2 linked regions of the Drosophila melanogaster genome follow. The protein of the gene in region 2 interacts with the protein of the main gene of each other region in a pairwise test. Each region holds a gene or a part of one and is shown on either strand. Other genes may lie near its edges.

What was found.
Region 1: the proteins of Mef2 (region 2) and SPoCk interact in a two-hybrid assay, tested with the Drosophila melanogaster proteins (one large-scale study listed by BioGRID).

Annotation. Positions count from the first base shown.
Region 1 is NT_037436.4:22,757,059-22,764,038, reverse strand, and holds the start of SPoCk (secretory pathway calcium atpase), read right to left. Parts: upstream 4,063-6,980; coding exon 3,799-4,062; intron 3,251-3,798; coding exon 3,230-3,250; intron 1-3,229.
Region 2 is NT_033778.4:9,925,615-9,932,503, forward strand, and holds the start of Mef2 (myocyte enhancer factor 2), read right to left. Parts: upstream 4,002-6,889; 5' UTR 3,286-4,001; intron 1,256-3,285; 5' UTR 873-1,255; intron 1-872. UniProt on the Drosophila melanogaster protein: Transcription factor that could be a key player in early mesoderm differentiation and may be required for subsequent cell fate specifications within the somatic and visceral/heart mesodermal layers.

The sequences.
Region 1 (6,980 bases), on a different chromosome or scaffold from region 2:
GGAGTTACGCTTGGCCGAAAGTACAGCTTTTTTGAAAAGCGCGTTTGCTTTTTTGTATCGGATAAGGTTTGTATCATTCGTATTGGCTTTGTAGGACGAGAACAAGCGTTGCTTTTGGTCCCTAAGCTGTTGAAGGTTAGCGTTCCACCATGGCACCTTGGCTTTGTGGATCACCCTTTTCGTTTGGGGAATGCTATAGTTTGCAGCTGAACGTATGACTTTCGTCATTTGTGCGACTTGCTGATTTAGGCAACCGACCGTCCAATATGCTGCTGATTTTTCGCAACTTTCGTTAAAGCGTTTCCAGTTCGCTTGGTCTGTCTTGTATTTAGGCAGGGGTAAAGTGTTATCGGGACGGGTAGGTGTGTTTATGTGGATGGTTATGGGAAAGTGGTCACTTCCATGGAGATTATCTGATATAGACCAGCTGCACATATGGGCTATCTGTGGAGATATCAGTGAGATATCAATGTGGGTGAACGTATTGTGAGTTGAAAGGTGAGTCGGGGAACCGTCGTTAAGAACAATTAGGCTGTTTTCAAGAATTACGGTTTCAATTTTTTTACCCCTTGTATTTGTGCGAGGTGAACCCCATAAAGGACTCCATGAGTTAAGATCACCCAGGAGTATTGTGGATCCGTTAAGATTTTGAAGAATTTCTGATATGTCAGAAGATGAAAAAATTTGACTTGGTGGGATGTACGCATTAACAATATTAATGACCTGTTCAAAATTAAGCTGCAGTGCGGAGCAGAGTATGCTGGAGTTAATGTTACGGTATGTATGTGGGACATTCCTTTTAATAAGAACACCAATGCCTTGTTTGGCTGAGGTGTTATAAGAAAAATTGTGGAAGTAACCACTATATTCTTTGGGGCAAATAAAATTTGTAGAATTACATGGAAGGTTGGTTTCCTGCAAAAATACAATATCGGGTGCATGGTCTTTTATGAGTAGTGTCAGTTCGTTGTAATTATTAAAAATGCCGTGGATGTTCCATTGTAATATAGTAATTGTCATGATTAAAAATTTTTTTTTTTTTATTTATTGTTTTTTGTTGGACTGTTATTAATTTGTGGTGTGTGTATATGAAGGTAAGGGTGAGAGGATCAGGACTAGGAATCGGGATCGTCCATAGTGTCTGAGTCTGTTGTGTTGATTTTTGTTTGTAGATTTGAGGTTTGTGAAGCAATTGATTCGTTTGAGTTGGATCTTGAGGTCATTAACGTATTGTTGTCGTCGTTGTAGGTTTGTCCTAATAGAGCGTTTGCTTCCGCCCTAAGGGAGCGAGATCGTTCGATGCATGTTTTTTTTAGGTAAGAGAAATCAGTTTTGTCAGAGGTGCTTGGGGAGGAAGTAAGATTCTCTTCGAGATTCAAAGAGTTCGTCCGAGAAGTGGGATACGTTGGTGAGAGCGGAGCTGGTACTTTTGTCGAGCTGGTGGGCAAGTCGGTGTTTGTAATCGTGTTAGGGTTTCGGGATTTTTTGACAAGCATCACGGATGATGTGCTTTGGTTTGCGACGGTCGAGTAGGTAAGCGTGGGGTTATTTGTTGTGTTTTGTTGTTGTTTTAGTATAGTGCGAGCTTCATGGAAACTGCATTTTTTGCTTGTTTTGATGTGGAGCAGTTGTTTTTGTGTTTGGTATTGTGGGCATTCGGGTGAGGAGGCTGGATGTTGGCCGGTGCAGTTTGCACAGAAAATGCGAGTGCATGGCACGGGAAGGTGGGGAGCGAGATTGCATGATACACAGGCAGGTGGGTTTTTGCAGTGCTTTGATGTGTGTCCTAATAATTGACAAGACTTACATCTCATCGGGTTGGGTATATATTCTGACACCTTAACTGTGTGCCAGGAAACCGTTAGTTTACTGGGAAGAGTGAAACGGTCGAACGTTACGAGAACTTTTCCAAAAGGTTTGGGGGTGCCGTCGATCATTTTGGTAAATTTAAATACGCTGTGTACATTTTGTGATTTTAGTTCCTCAACAATTTCGTTTTCTGGAATGTTAATAAGACAGGGAGCGTAAATGGTGCCTTTGACAAAGTTAAGAGTGTTGTGGAGCTTGCACTCGATATCGCATAAGCCAGGTAAAGAAGTCACTTTGATAAATTTGTCACTAATTTCCCTGGAGTTAACCAGCAAGAGAAGGTTACCATCCCGAAGATTAGAGATGGATGTAATGTCTTTGCTGATATACTTAAGGGCTCTATGGACAGCAAAGCAGTTGTAGTCGGATATGGTTTTCGGAGAGTTTTTTGATGAGACCACTAAATATCTCGGATTTTTGCACTGCGTTTCAGGGAGGTCTGGGAAATCAACTTGTAATTTTTGATAGGGTCTTTTTTTCTTAGCTTTGGGGCTAACGCTGAGACTGGCAAAGCGATTATCCCCCAAATTGAGTGGCCCGGGGGCCATGGTTAATAAATTTATGGATATTGAATGTTTTTGATTTGCACGTACGCGTTGATAAGAAGATCAAGAAGATAAGATGATAAATATCAATGTAACGGCGATGGTAATTACGCGATAAGCAAAGCTCACACAATTGGAAAGACACAGACGTCCGCACTCGAAGAGAGATAGTCGGTGACGTTGCAAATATACACCAGTACTTTAGCTACATTATTTTGGTGTAAAGACTTATGGACTTGGTAATCGTAGAAGTACTGTCGACATTTTTCTAACTATTTAATTTTGGCTATGCATCCTTGGATCCTTAAGATTATACCCGTTACTCGTAAAGTAAAAGGGTATACTAGCTTCGTTGAAAAGTATGTAACAAGCAGAAGGAAGCGTTTTCGACTATATATAGTATATATATATTCCTGATCAATAGCTGAGTCAAACTGGCCATGTTCATCTTACCAGGATGGTTTAGATTAGGCATACAGATTTAAGTTTGTTGATCCATATTGCAACGCCCACAGTCTTGCCAAGTTCTACCGGTATACCAAAAACACTTTGGCCACGCCCCTTCTCACACCTACAAAACGCCCAAAACGGTCACGCCCACACTTTTAAACAATTTTTAAATTTTTTCTTTTATTCTCCAATATCTATCGATACTTCAGAAATATGATGAAATTTCGTGTTCGCATTTCCACTAGTTGAGTAACGGGTATCTGATAGTCGGGGAACTCGAATTTAGCAACTTCTCTTGATTTTCATCTGTGTGGTGTTAATTAGTTTTTGTGTGAATTTTAATTACGACAGTTAAGCCTGAGAGCCTGAATAATGTTTCCATTTTGCTTTGTTGTTGTATACACGTGAAAAGTGTGATGCTTAGAATTAAGAGGAAACTCAAGTTTTACATACATACCTGAAAAGGTAAAAGACGGAAAAGGTGATAGATAAATTATAACAAATGGCCTTATGAGAAGGTCTTTTTACTTTAATAATAATTATTATAAAAAGTAGTTGTATTAGGAATTAGTCACCTAAAAAAGGTAGCATTGCAGACATCAGCCACATAATGTAATCTTTTTTCACATTTTGTTCAATATAACCTTTTAAACATCGTACACAAATCCCACCCAAATTATTTATTAATTAAAGCGATTCCAAAACATATATACTTTAGAAGAACAAGAGTTTCTGCCCCTTGCATTATGAATTTCGTCATAATAATAATAAGTATTAAAATTGTTATGCCCAAGTTATGCGGAGACACGTCCCAGTGAGAATGGGGAGAATTGGTCGAGGAACTTGAATTCCCTGAACAAATACGCGTACATAGCAAAGTAACCCCGTCATATCTCATCACTATAGTCAAAACATATTTTTCATCACCTCTCACCTGATCCACATTGTCCTCATCCGGCTCTTTGCAATCCTTCATGTCTGCTACTTTGCCCGGCTTCACATTTTGCGGAACAGCCCTTGAGTCCTTGACGTGGCTGATGGTCCTCTGTGGGTTAGGCTTACTGTCGACGCCCTTGATCTTGGAACGGCGATTGCGTACGCCACTCGAGGTTGTTGGGCTTTCAATCAGGACCGTGGAGCCAGGACTTGCCGGCGAGGTCCTACGCTTGGACGTCAAGGGCTTTGGAGTTTTGGACATTCGGGCGAATTTGTACTGAAGTAAGACTCAATGAAGCAGAGGGCGCCGCCTCGTAAAGAGCAATGAACTGCCCTTCCATTTACGTTAATACCCTACGCGTGTCCTTCTCTTGATAAGGTCCATAGAGTTACCCATCTCGGGACATAAGTAATCTAATTATCGGCCCACCGGGGTGGGAACCTTAAAGTGTCGCCATATGGAAAACACCTTCTTCTCTTCATTCTGCGTAAAGTTTGAACAGTAAGTACTGGGCAGCAAACCACTCTGGAGCTAAACTATTCCCAGAGCCAGATTTTAAATCGTTTATTTTCGACAAACCGAATCAAAATCAAATGGAAACTGCAACGAACAAGCGCTCTTTACGTATGGTAAAAAATTCAATTTAAAAAACACCTGTCAATTGACTCGATTTACGTAACTGGAGGGTGGTCACAAAGTCCTCAGTACAACAATCTAATATGCGCAGGATAAGTTATTTATTGAGCCTTGAGAGTCGCGGAGGGTGGATTGGGTGGATAATAGTTGGGCGCAATGGCCAGTCAGAGATATGCGGTCGTTGGCTGCAAAGCCGCAGGGCGTTGGGGCTTAAGACAACCAGAGGTATGACCATTAAGTTTCCCGTTTGTAAGTGACAAGCAATAATGGACTTGATTTAGGGGTTACCACACATGAGAAATTCATATGTGAGAGTAGTGTTGATTTATAGTGTTTTAAATTAAGAATCAGGCATCTTAAAGCTTATAATTATGTACTAGTATGAAATAAATAACACACCATAACCATAAACGTACGAAATAAATTGTTCTAGTAATTTCCAGTCTCTGTTTTAAAAAAAGAGAGAATGCTATAACGAATTCCCCGACTATCAGATACCCGTTACTCAGCTAGTCCAAGTGGGACCGAGAATTATCAACATTTTCAGGAATATCGGTATAAATTGGGGGAAAAAATTATTATTTGAATGCTCTAAGGTGTGAGTGGTTTAAAATATTAGGTAACTGCAAGGGTATATAAGCATCGGCTTGCCAAAGTTAGCTTCCCTTCTTGCCTTTATACGAAGCATTTTCAAAAAATAATTCCGCGACCGAGCCGACTTTGTTCTTGACCAATATATGTGTCCTAAAATGGTCAGGGGTTAAGCACCTGAACTGGGAGTTTCCCATAAAAATCTATTCACAACTAGCAGGGAGTTGGTTTCCAGGAAAAGTTTTAAATTCGAATTTGGAGGTGAAAGACAAAGCGAAATCATAAACAGGCATCTCTCCTTTCACGAAGTGCCAAATAAAAAGTTTTTCAATTTAGATTTATAAACCAACATAACGTAGGTAATTGCCGCACAAAGTTGCCTGGCGTGTTTAAATAAAAGTGAAGCGGGAGATGTAGCGCCCAGTCCTCTGCGCCTCGAAGGAAAAGTGCTTCCCGTGCTCGAGGATCCAAAACATTTCAGCGGAATTGCAGTGCATATAATTTTCGCTGTTGCGTTTTAAAGCAGCCGCTGCCTGATACACCAAGAGCAATGCCCGTCTTCATGGCAGTCTCTCTAACACAAAACTCCTAGCTAGATATTCTGATCGTGGCCAGCCAGCACCCCTTCCACACAGGACCTACCGAATTTGTATCTGTTGGGGCACTGAGTGCGGTTACCCGCTGACAGACATTAGCACAGCTTATACATACCTCCGGCACCCAGCTCCGCTCCACTATCTCCCCCTGCGTCTAATGCATCTGAAAATTGCGAAAACTTCTGGCAGAAGGACCGCCGGAGATGGGGAAGGGGTAGGTGCACTGTGTATATCTGTATCTGTATCTGGCAGATACGAGCTACAGTTATTTTTATAAACTTCTCGCTTTCGCCTCTCCCGATGTCCGTTTATCTGGCTGTGGACCCGGGGCAGACAATGTAGATTTAGCCAGTCCAATGGTTAACGTTTACCACACACGAATTTCCAACACTGAAGAGTGCAGCCACTACTTTAAGGTGAATTTCCAGTCGCTCGTGGACAAAATCCGTGTATATTGTATGGTTTATCCCCCACCCGAAAAGAATGTGAGGTATGTAACAAGTAGCTGCAGTATTTGGACGTACATATTGGTACACATGAAATATAATATCCCTCGATATCTGCCGCATGTTGCCAAGCATCTTCATAAAAGTGCGCGTCAGAATTAAATGGCTTCACAATTAAATTGCTCATGTAATCTATGAGGCTAGAGCGCTCGGGAGCTCCTGAAAGGCTTGTCAAACATTACCTGTTAGGTGGATCGATTTCCACCTCCGCCACACGAGGCTTTTGCTTTTGACGCAGACACCAGATCCAGACGACACATACTCGTATCAACAATCCGACAGAGAAGCCTGGGAAGCTGCTGCGTCAGCCAAAAATGATATATTGTAGACTGGATGCAGGGACAGCGCTTTCAGTAAATATGTTCTCATGTCGCTTTAATTGTTTTTACAGGCTGCACCCCGCCCTGATGTTTTTCAATTTCAACTTTTCTGCACTTTACAATACATTTTGCAAAAGTTGGTCTAATAACTAAACATAATATTAAATGCTAAAAAATACTCCTAACCATTCATGTACGAGAAGTGAGTATAACAATCCAAGCTCAAAATGTATATAGGTTTCCTTTTTTTTTTTTTTGGTCAATCCAAAAACTAGTTTCACTATCTTCTCAGCTAAGGACTCACATACAACGTTTCATAAGGAATGTACGGCTTCTTTAGTCTGAGTGCATAATCATTTTTTGTTCCCAAGCGTTTCCAATAAAAAGCGTTTTCGGGTTCCTGTTCTCCTGTGACTGCTAGGGGTGTCGGTCAAAGACTCTAGAATATTCTACACTAGTTATTCTAGTGTCTTTTGTGTCGCTAGTGGTGGACGAAACTTTACATTGCACAAGCGGCAGTCATCGTCAAG
Region 2 (6,889 bases):
CTTGATTGCGCTCAATTAGCATTTGTTGCGGCCAAATTTATGCAAATGTTAAACTTTTCCGTATTTTGGAGGAATGAACCCCGTACCGATTCAAAAACCAGTTGCGATCGCAATGAGATGAGCCGATCTGAATGCAATCTCTCACCGTCTGGAGCTTTCAGCCTCAATTAGAGCGACAGAGATCGCGAACGAGAGACCTTTCATAAATTCCGTTTTTATGGCTGCTGACCGGCCAAATTTCAAGTTTAAAAAACTCCGAATTTATCACCTCAATTTCAAATAATAACCATTCCGTGGGTTTATACGCACGTTGGCCTGACCAGTGAGTGTTCTAGATATATATTTGTTAATTTTTCTTAATTCACTAGCTCTGCTCTTTTCGGCCTGTCTTGACTTCCTTGGTCGCAGCTCACTTTCACTTTTCATCAACCAGATCAGATCCGTCAATGTCCCCGACTTTTGTTATTGTTGTTAATGTGCCGCAGTTAACGCATTCCTGGGACCCCGGTTATAAATCTTGACTTAATTAAAGACACGCGCGCGCGTTTTAAGACGCGATGAAAACGACTCATTGCGTACTGCCAATGAGGCGGAACTTTTTTTTGTAGTCTTCGGGGGCGGTCGGAAGTTGAGTTTAGAACTGTAAATTACGAGCAAAGATGCTGGGGATAGCCATCAATACCAATTGGGGACGAAGAGATGAGGATAGGATTGCGTTTGAAGAATAGATTTTAAAAACTGACGAGTTGAGAAACTAAAATGAACTTGTCATAAAATCTACATTTCAATTCAAACTACCTCATATCTTATTAACATTTACATCTATTTTTAGTATATTATTTATATATTATAAAATATTATCCACAACTTACACACACTTTGTGAATACGACGCTCGTGGTAAATGCTAAAGGCAAATGATAAATGCTTTTGAGATAAAATGTGCCTGTTTGAAGCAAGTGAAATATCGGCAAACTTCGATTTCCAATATTTTTGCAAGCAATCGCATTGGCTCCGCGATATCTGGCTCTCTTCCTGCACCGCGTTTATCAACAATTTCGATTGCAGAAATGCCAGCAAAAGCAAAAGAATCCAAGGTTTTTGTTTTTCGCCCCGAAACACGCGTCTCATGTTAAGGTAGTCGAACAAATTTGAGTTCTCGGGCCCCGAGTCACCTAGAAGTACACCTAGAGCACTTCTATCTTATCGCCAGCACCTACACAGCCGCAAAAGCGGGCGGAGTGTGGGGGAGGGAGCTAAACCAAAACACAGGCGCAAACAGAAAGAAATCGTTATAATAATAATAATTATTATTATTTTTATTTTTATATACAATATATGTGGGGGAGCGCGGCGGCAATAACCATAATTATCACAGACACTCGAGAGCCGCAAACACGGCAAATGGCAAAGGAACATTTATTTTTTTAATAACTACACCAACACATCGACCAGATTGTGCTTCATTTGGCTTGTCAGTGAGCGTGGGCACCTTCACATGCGCACGTGTGATAAGAAAGACTCTCGCTCTCGATGGCAGATAGTGGCCGCAAAAAAAAAAAAACACGAGCAAATAAAACAAATTTTGATTTCGAATTTTTTATCAAGCACCGAAAACGCCAACAACAAACGTAACTCAACTATTTTTCGTTGAAAATTTGCCAACAAATTATTTTGACCTGATAAGATGTCGTTTGTGGGTTTTCCTTCATGGATTGTATTCTTTATTTTACTTGCAGTTTTTCAGAATCGTGTGTCATTTTTGAATTTCAAAACTAATTGAAAGGCATCCAAAAAAAAAAAACAGTTAAAACATTTATTTTTTCGCTTAACTTATGAAGCTTTAGGTATTGGAAATAACTAAATTGTTATAGAATGAGATAAATAATAATGAAATAATAAAGAAAATAAATAAATAATATTATAATTTCTCTATTGATGGAACACTTAAAATACAAAAAAGAAAATAAATAAATAATATTATAATTTCTCTATTGATGGAACACTTAAAATACAAACGCGACCCAAACGTGACTACACCAAATAGTGTTAAAGATCTCGGAGGTTAATGATGGTCGTGATGATGGTCCGAACGTGAACGTGATCGGAGGTGGGGTCCCGTTATCTAGGCTCTGCAATGCCGAATGACCGTAATCGTTTATCGGCGATCGCCGTGGCTAAGTCCACGGCAAATCTGCGGTGATTATCGCCTTCGAATGGCTTTGTTTGTTATTTGAACCCACTGCTCCCTGGATCGAAACGAAATTCCCCTACTCCCTTCCCACGCGACCCCCCTTATGATCCTGCGTAGGTGTCAAAGTGCATTGCACGCATGTCCAGCTGCCTGAGGCGAGATAAGAGAAAATATAATTCTCTGTGCATTTGCTGCTGGCTGAAACAAAGTGCAGACAATTATCAGCAAATTCGCCAATCAGCCAGCCAGCCAGCCAGCCAGTCAATCAGTCAGTTAGTCGGTTGGTCGGTCGGTCGGCCATAAAAACTACATGCAAAAGAACTTGATAGCAGGGAAATGGATTTGAACTTCGCCGGAGGAGTACGGTTCTCGCGGGCCCTCAATATTGATACGAAAATCGCTTATCAGTGGAACGTATATAGTATTTGTGTGTGCGTGTTCGCCCGTCCGAGTGTATGGCAGCTACTCTCAGCATTAAATCGCAAGAAAAGAAATTGAAACATCGAATGATATCAATTGAAAGGGAACTGTTTGAACTGGAATCAAGACAGCGAGGCACAATTCGAAAACCCGGCCGATATCTCTTTTTTTTTTCTTCGGAATCCCAACGTTTGGCTCAGCGATGACGTCAGTGTGCATGGGTAACTTGCTTATTTGGTTCCCGACATGCCGGCTGCCAGTGTTTTTGTAATTGTAAATTATATATAATCAAATTGCCCTATCGGCATATGAAAGGAGGGGTTTACAGCCCATCGATGATCTGTAAATAATTACTAAGCCTTTGGGCGGAATAATAGCTCAATGAGCAAAGGTGGATATGATAACCAAAATTAGGTTTTATAATTCATAATTTATAATTAATTTAACAATGTGTCTCAAAAGTATGACTAACCGAAAATCACTTATAATGTAATGAGGCATTCAATTGGATTTTATGACGCTCATAAATATAAGTCAAATGGTTATCACAAACAGGAAAAATTATTCTTAATACAAGAATGAAAATCTTTCTACCCATTTCGCAAAGGTACTTTGGTTTTAAAAACTAGTTTTCAAACCAAAAACATTCCTCATTGCAGTAGATAAACTTACATGAATCGCTTTTTAGCTGAGCTTCCGTTTTCTCGAAAAAATGTTCTCAAAAATACACTACTCAATAGAAACCGACGAGTTTTGAACTTTTCTGGGGATGTCAGGTCGCTGGCGAGGTGTTTGCACAAATGTTTCCGAGCACACACACGAAAATCTTTGCAATTGAGATGCAAATTGAATTATTGTTTGAATTCTGGCTTTGTTTACGCCGCTCGTTCGATAAACATCGGGGCGAAATGCAGTCAGTGATATGTTTGCTGTTGTGTTTGTCGTGTGCTTTAGCTTTTTGTAAATATAAACAAAGTCCGGGCAGGCGGGGGCGGGGATGTCGCGGCCGCGGTTGGCGCAAATAAAAGTTAAAAATAAAAACTTATAATTGTCCGACGGCTGTTGTTATTTTTATTATTGTTGCCATTTATTTTTGGAAATAGACGTTGAATTTGTTTATATGGAGTAAAAATAAATTATTGCGCGTAGTGCGAGAGCAGCGGGCCAGCATAATTTCTCGCGGCGTTCGATATAGGATCTCTATCTGTTGTGAATCGCTAGCGGAATCGGATCGTTGGATCGTTGGCTCGGAATGAAAATATCGAACTCGCAAACGGATCGCAAACTGATCTGCCGAAATCGAATCGAATCGAAATCTCAAAATCTCGAAATCCCGAAAACCGAAAAACTGAAGAAGCGGCGCTGCGGACGCGTACAAACGTACTGACGGATATGCCGTCGTTGACGTCGTAACGCCAAGTACGCACACACAGATACGCCCGCACACAGCTGCACTGCGCCAGGCTCTCTCGCAGTCGCACACTAACACACACACGCACAGCCAGCAACGAACACGTATACGTAGGCTGGCGGTGAGGATTTTCGTTTCGTGGTGAACTCACTCACACGCGCACACCTTCTAACGGTGCCTTTTGTTTTTGCCTTTTTGTGTAACAGAATATCGCACACATACATTGCCGGGCAATCGGAGAGCGGGAGAGACGGAGAGAGTGCGCAGCCGCTGACTTTGAGTTCCTACTCACAACGAAAGCAAGAGTGAGCGAGAGGTGGCGGGGGGTTAGAGTGTGGGGCTGGTGGGGGTGAGTGAGTAATTCGGTTTGTGAGTGAGTGCGTGCGGGAGTCGAACGAGAAACATATGGTTTTTGTTTGTGCCCCAGCCAGACACACACACACGCACACTCACCCACACACTTGATCAATCAGCAACAGTTACAGTTAGTTCCCTCGCCGAGCTTGTTGTCCCGCTCTGGCAACCTCCCATAAATGTTAATTATCCCCCACTTCACCACCCCCATTAACTACACCCCTGCTAAACATCGCTTTGGTTTCCGTTTTCCTTTGTATCCGTATCTCCCTGCCCTGCCAGGACCTCTCCCCTCCCGCTTTGCCCACTATCTGGTTTTTTTTTTGTGTGTATTTTATTTATTTGTCCTTGCCACTGGATCCTCTCTATAAACACCCACCCACCATTAGTTTTCCCCTTCGACGCAGCTTAATAAAAACTTTGTTGACCTGCGTTTGGCAGTAGAAAAAAAGGTAAGTATATACTCGATACCCTGTTACAAAAGATGGGGCATACTTACTGGCTGTGGTTACGCCTTTTAGAAACGCGAAGTATGATATAACTATCATTAAAATTAATTTCATTTTTAATAGGTTATATTAACTTTGGAATTGTGACAGCTGTTTAGCTTCTTAGCTCCGATGTGAACGTAAACTAGAATGTTGAACTTGATTCAGAAAAAATAAAGCGTAAATCCTTTTTTCATTTGTTACCTAATTTTGTGCGATACAACATACAACATATCCTGTAATTCGTCTGCTGGCGGGTACACAAAACAAACAGGAAGGAATCGGAAGGGACAAAGAGTAGGACCCGTAGGATCCTAGGGTGTGCGGCAACCAACGATTCATTGTTTCTGCTCGATTGATGATTGCCTATTCAGACAGAGGTAAAGTAGTTGTATGGCTGAAGTTGGGGCTTAATTTGTGAATCGGACCGCCAGCCAGCCAAGTGGGATCCAAAGCCCTGTGACCCAGACCCTGTCTATTGTTGCGTTAAGCGAGATATTATTTACCTTAAACACGCTCTATTATGCAGGTTATGTAGGCGAAAAGATAATAAAGTAGGGATACATGTACCCCAACTTGATCCCAATAGAGTTTATTACAAAAATCGACTTTTATAAAAGCAGGAAAATTGGGAACGTTGTATGTGATTAGTCCACATCTGGGAGGCAAATAAAAGCTGTGGCTACTTTCCAGCCATCTATAGTTCTAACCCATATAGGAAATGATTTTGCGTCTATTTATACATAATAAAAATATTTCCAATAGCGAGAATTTTAGTGATTAGCCATTACCATATGGCATTTAAATCAATAAGAAAATATATTAAAAGATTTTCTTGTTTACTGTAAGTTGCGATTTAATAACTGGAGTGATAGTTAAAACACAGACAAAAGGACATTAAGGGAGGTGAAATCTTAAGGAATGCCCATATTGCAGTTGCAGTTAAGTGGACGCAACTTTAACGTGACTTTCCGAGTAATATGCGAATGCCAGATGCCGCAGATATTGCTCCGCCCCGTCGAGTGAATGGATTCTGTAAAAATCACGCATAACCGATACCAAGTGCAGCGCGACCAAGTTACCCGTTTTATGGCCCTCGCCTCTCGGCGGCGCCACAATGTTGCATTTTGAGAACCGAACCCAGCAGCAAACGATCCATGTGTGTATATCCGAAGATCCCTTTCTCACTTCCACTCCCATTACCATTCCCATTTCCATTTCCATTTCCATTCTGATTCCCGTTTGCAGTGTCCTTGTGACTTTTAACGCTTCCACTGGGTGCGACAACTGCCAACTGCAAACAGTCGTCGACAGTCTTAATTCAATAAACGCCGCCCGGCGATTTGCGCATGACCATGTACCCCGATGCTGTGCGCCGTACGGTTGATGCTGCATGTTGCATGCACTCAACACATGTGCAACATGCGGCATCTGCGGCAGTAGCAGCAGCAGCAGCATCGGCCTCAATGTGCGTTGAGTCCGACTTTAACTGCTTGGCAGGGGTTTCTTCAGGGGGATCTTTGAGTACCCCAAGCCAAGACAAGCCAAACCACGTGAAACTCATCTCCACGCCACTGCCCTCCGCCGATGATGTTTTTGTAAACGCTGCGTAGGTAATTTCATAAATCTCATTCAAATTGCCCTTCGTGCCATGCCCATCTTGCAGATACCCAGCAGTAGAACAGCTCCAAGTGTATCCGGAGGGTTGTAAGCATACGGAATTACAGGAAAAACATCTTTTTAATTGCTCGTCGAGATTTCGAAATTGAAAAATGTCTGCGGTGGTATCAATTATGCAAATGCTGGGCCCCGAAAAAAAAAGCAATTGAAGTTCAGTTCAGCTCAAGTGATTTCGACTCGGAAAAGTCTCCGGGGAGCTGGTCGACTTTCTGCCAAAAGAGAGGGGTAGGTGTCGCCATTAGCATTGCCTAATTACATTTCAATTGCTCGACTTAAACGGGCTTAGGTCTCCGACTTGCTCCCTAATTCATAAAAATCTCAATCAATTTCCCCGGGCATTGAG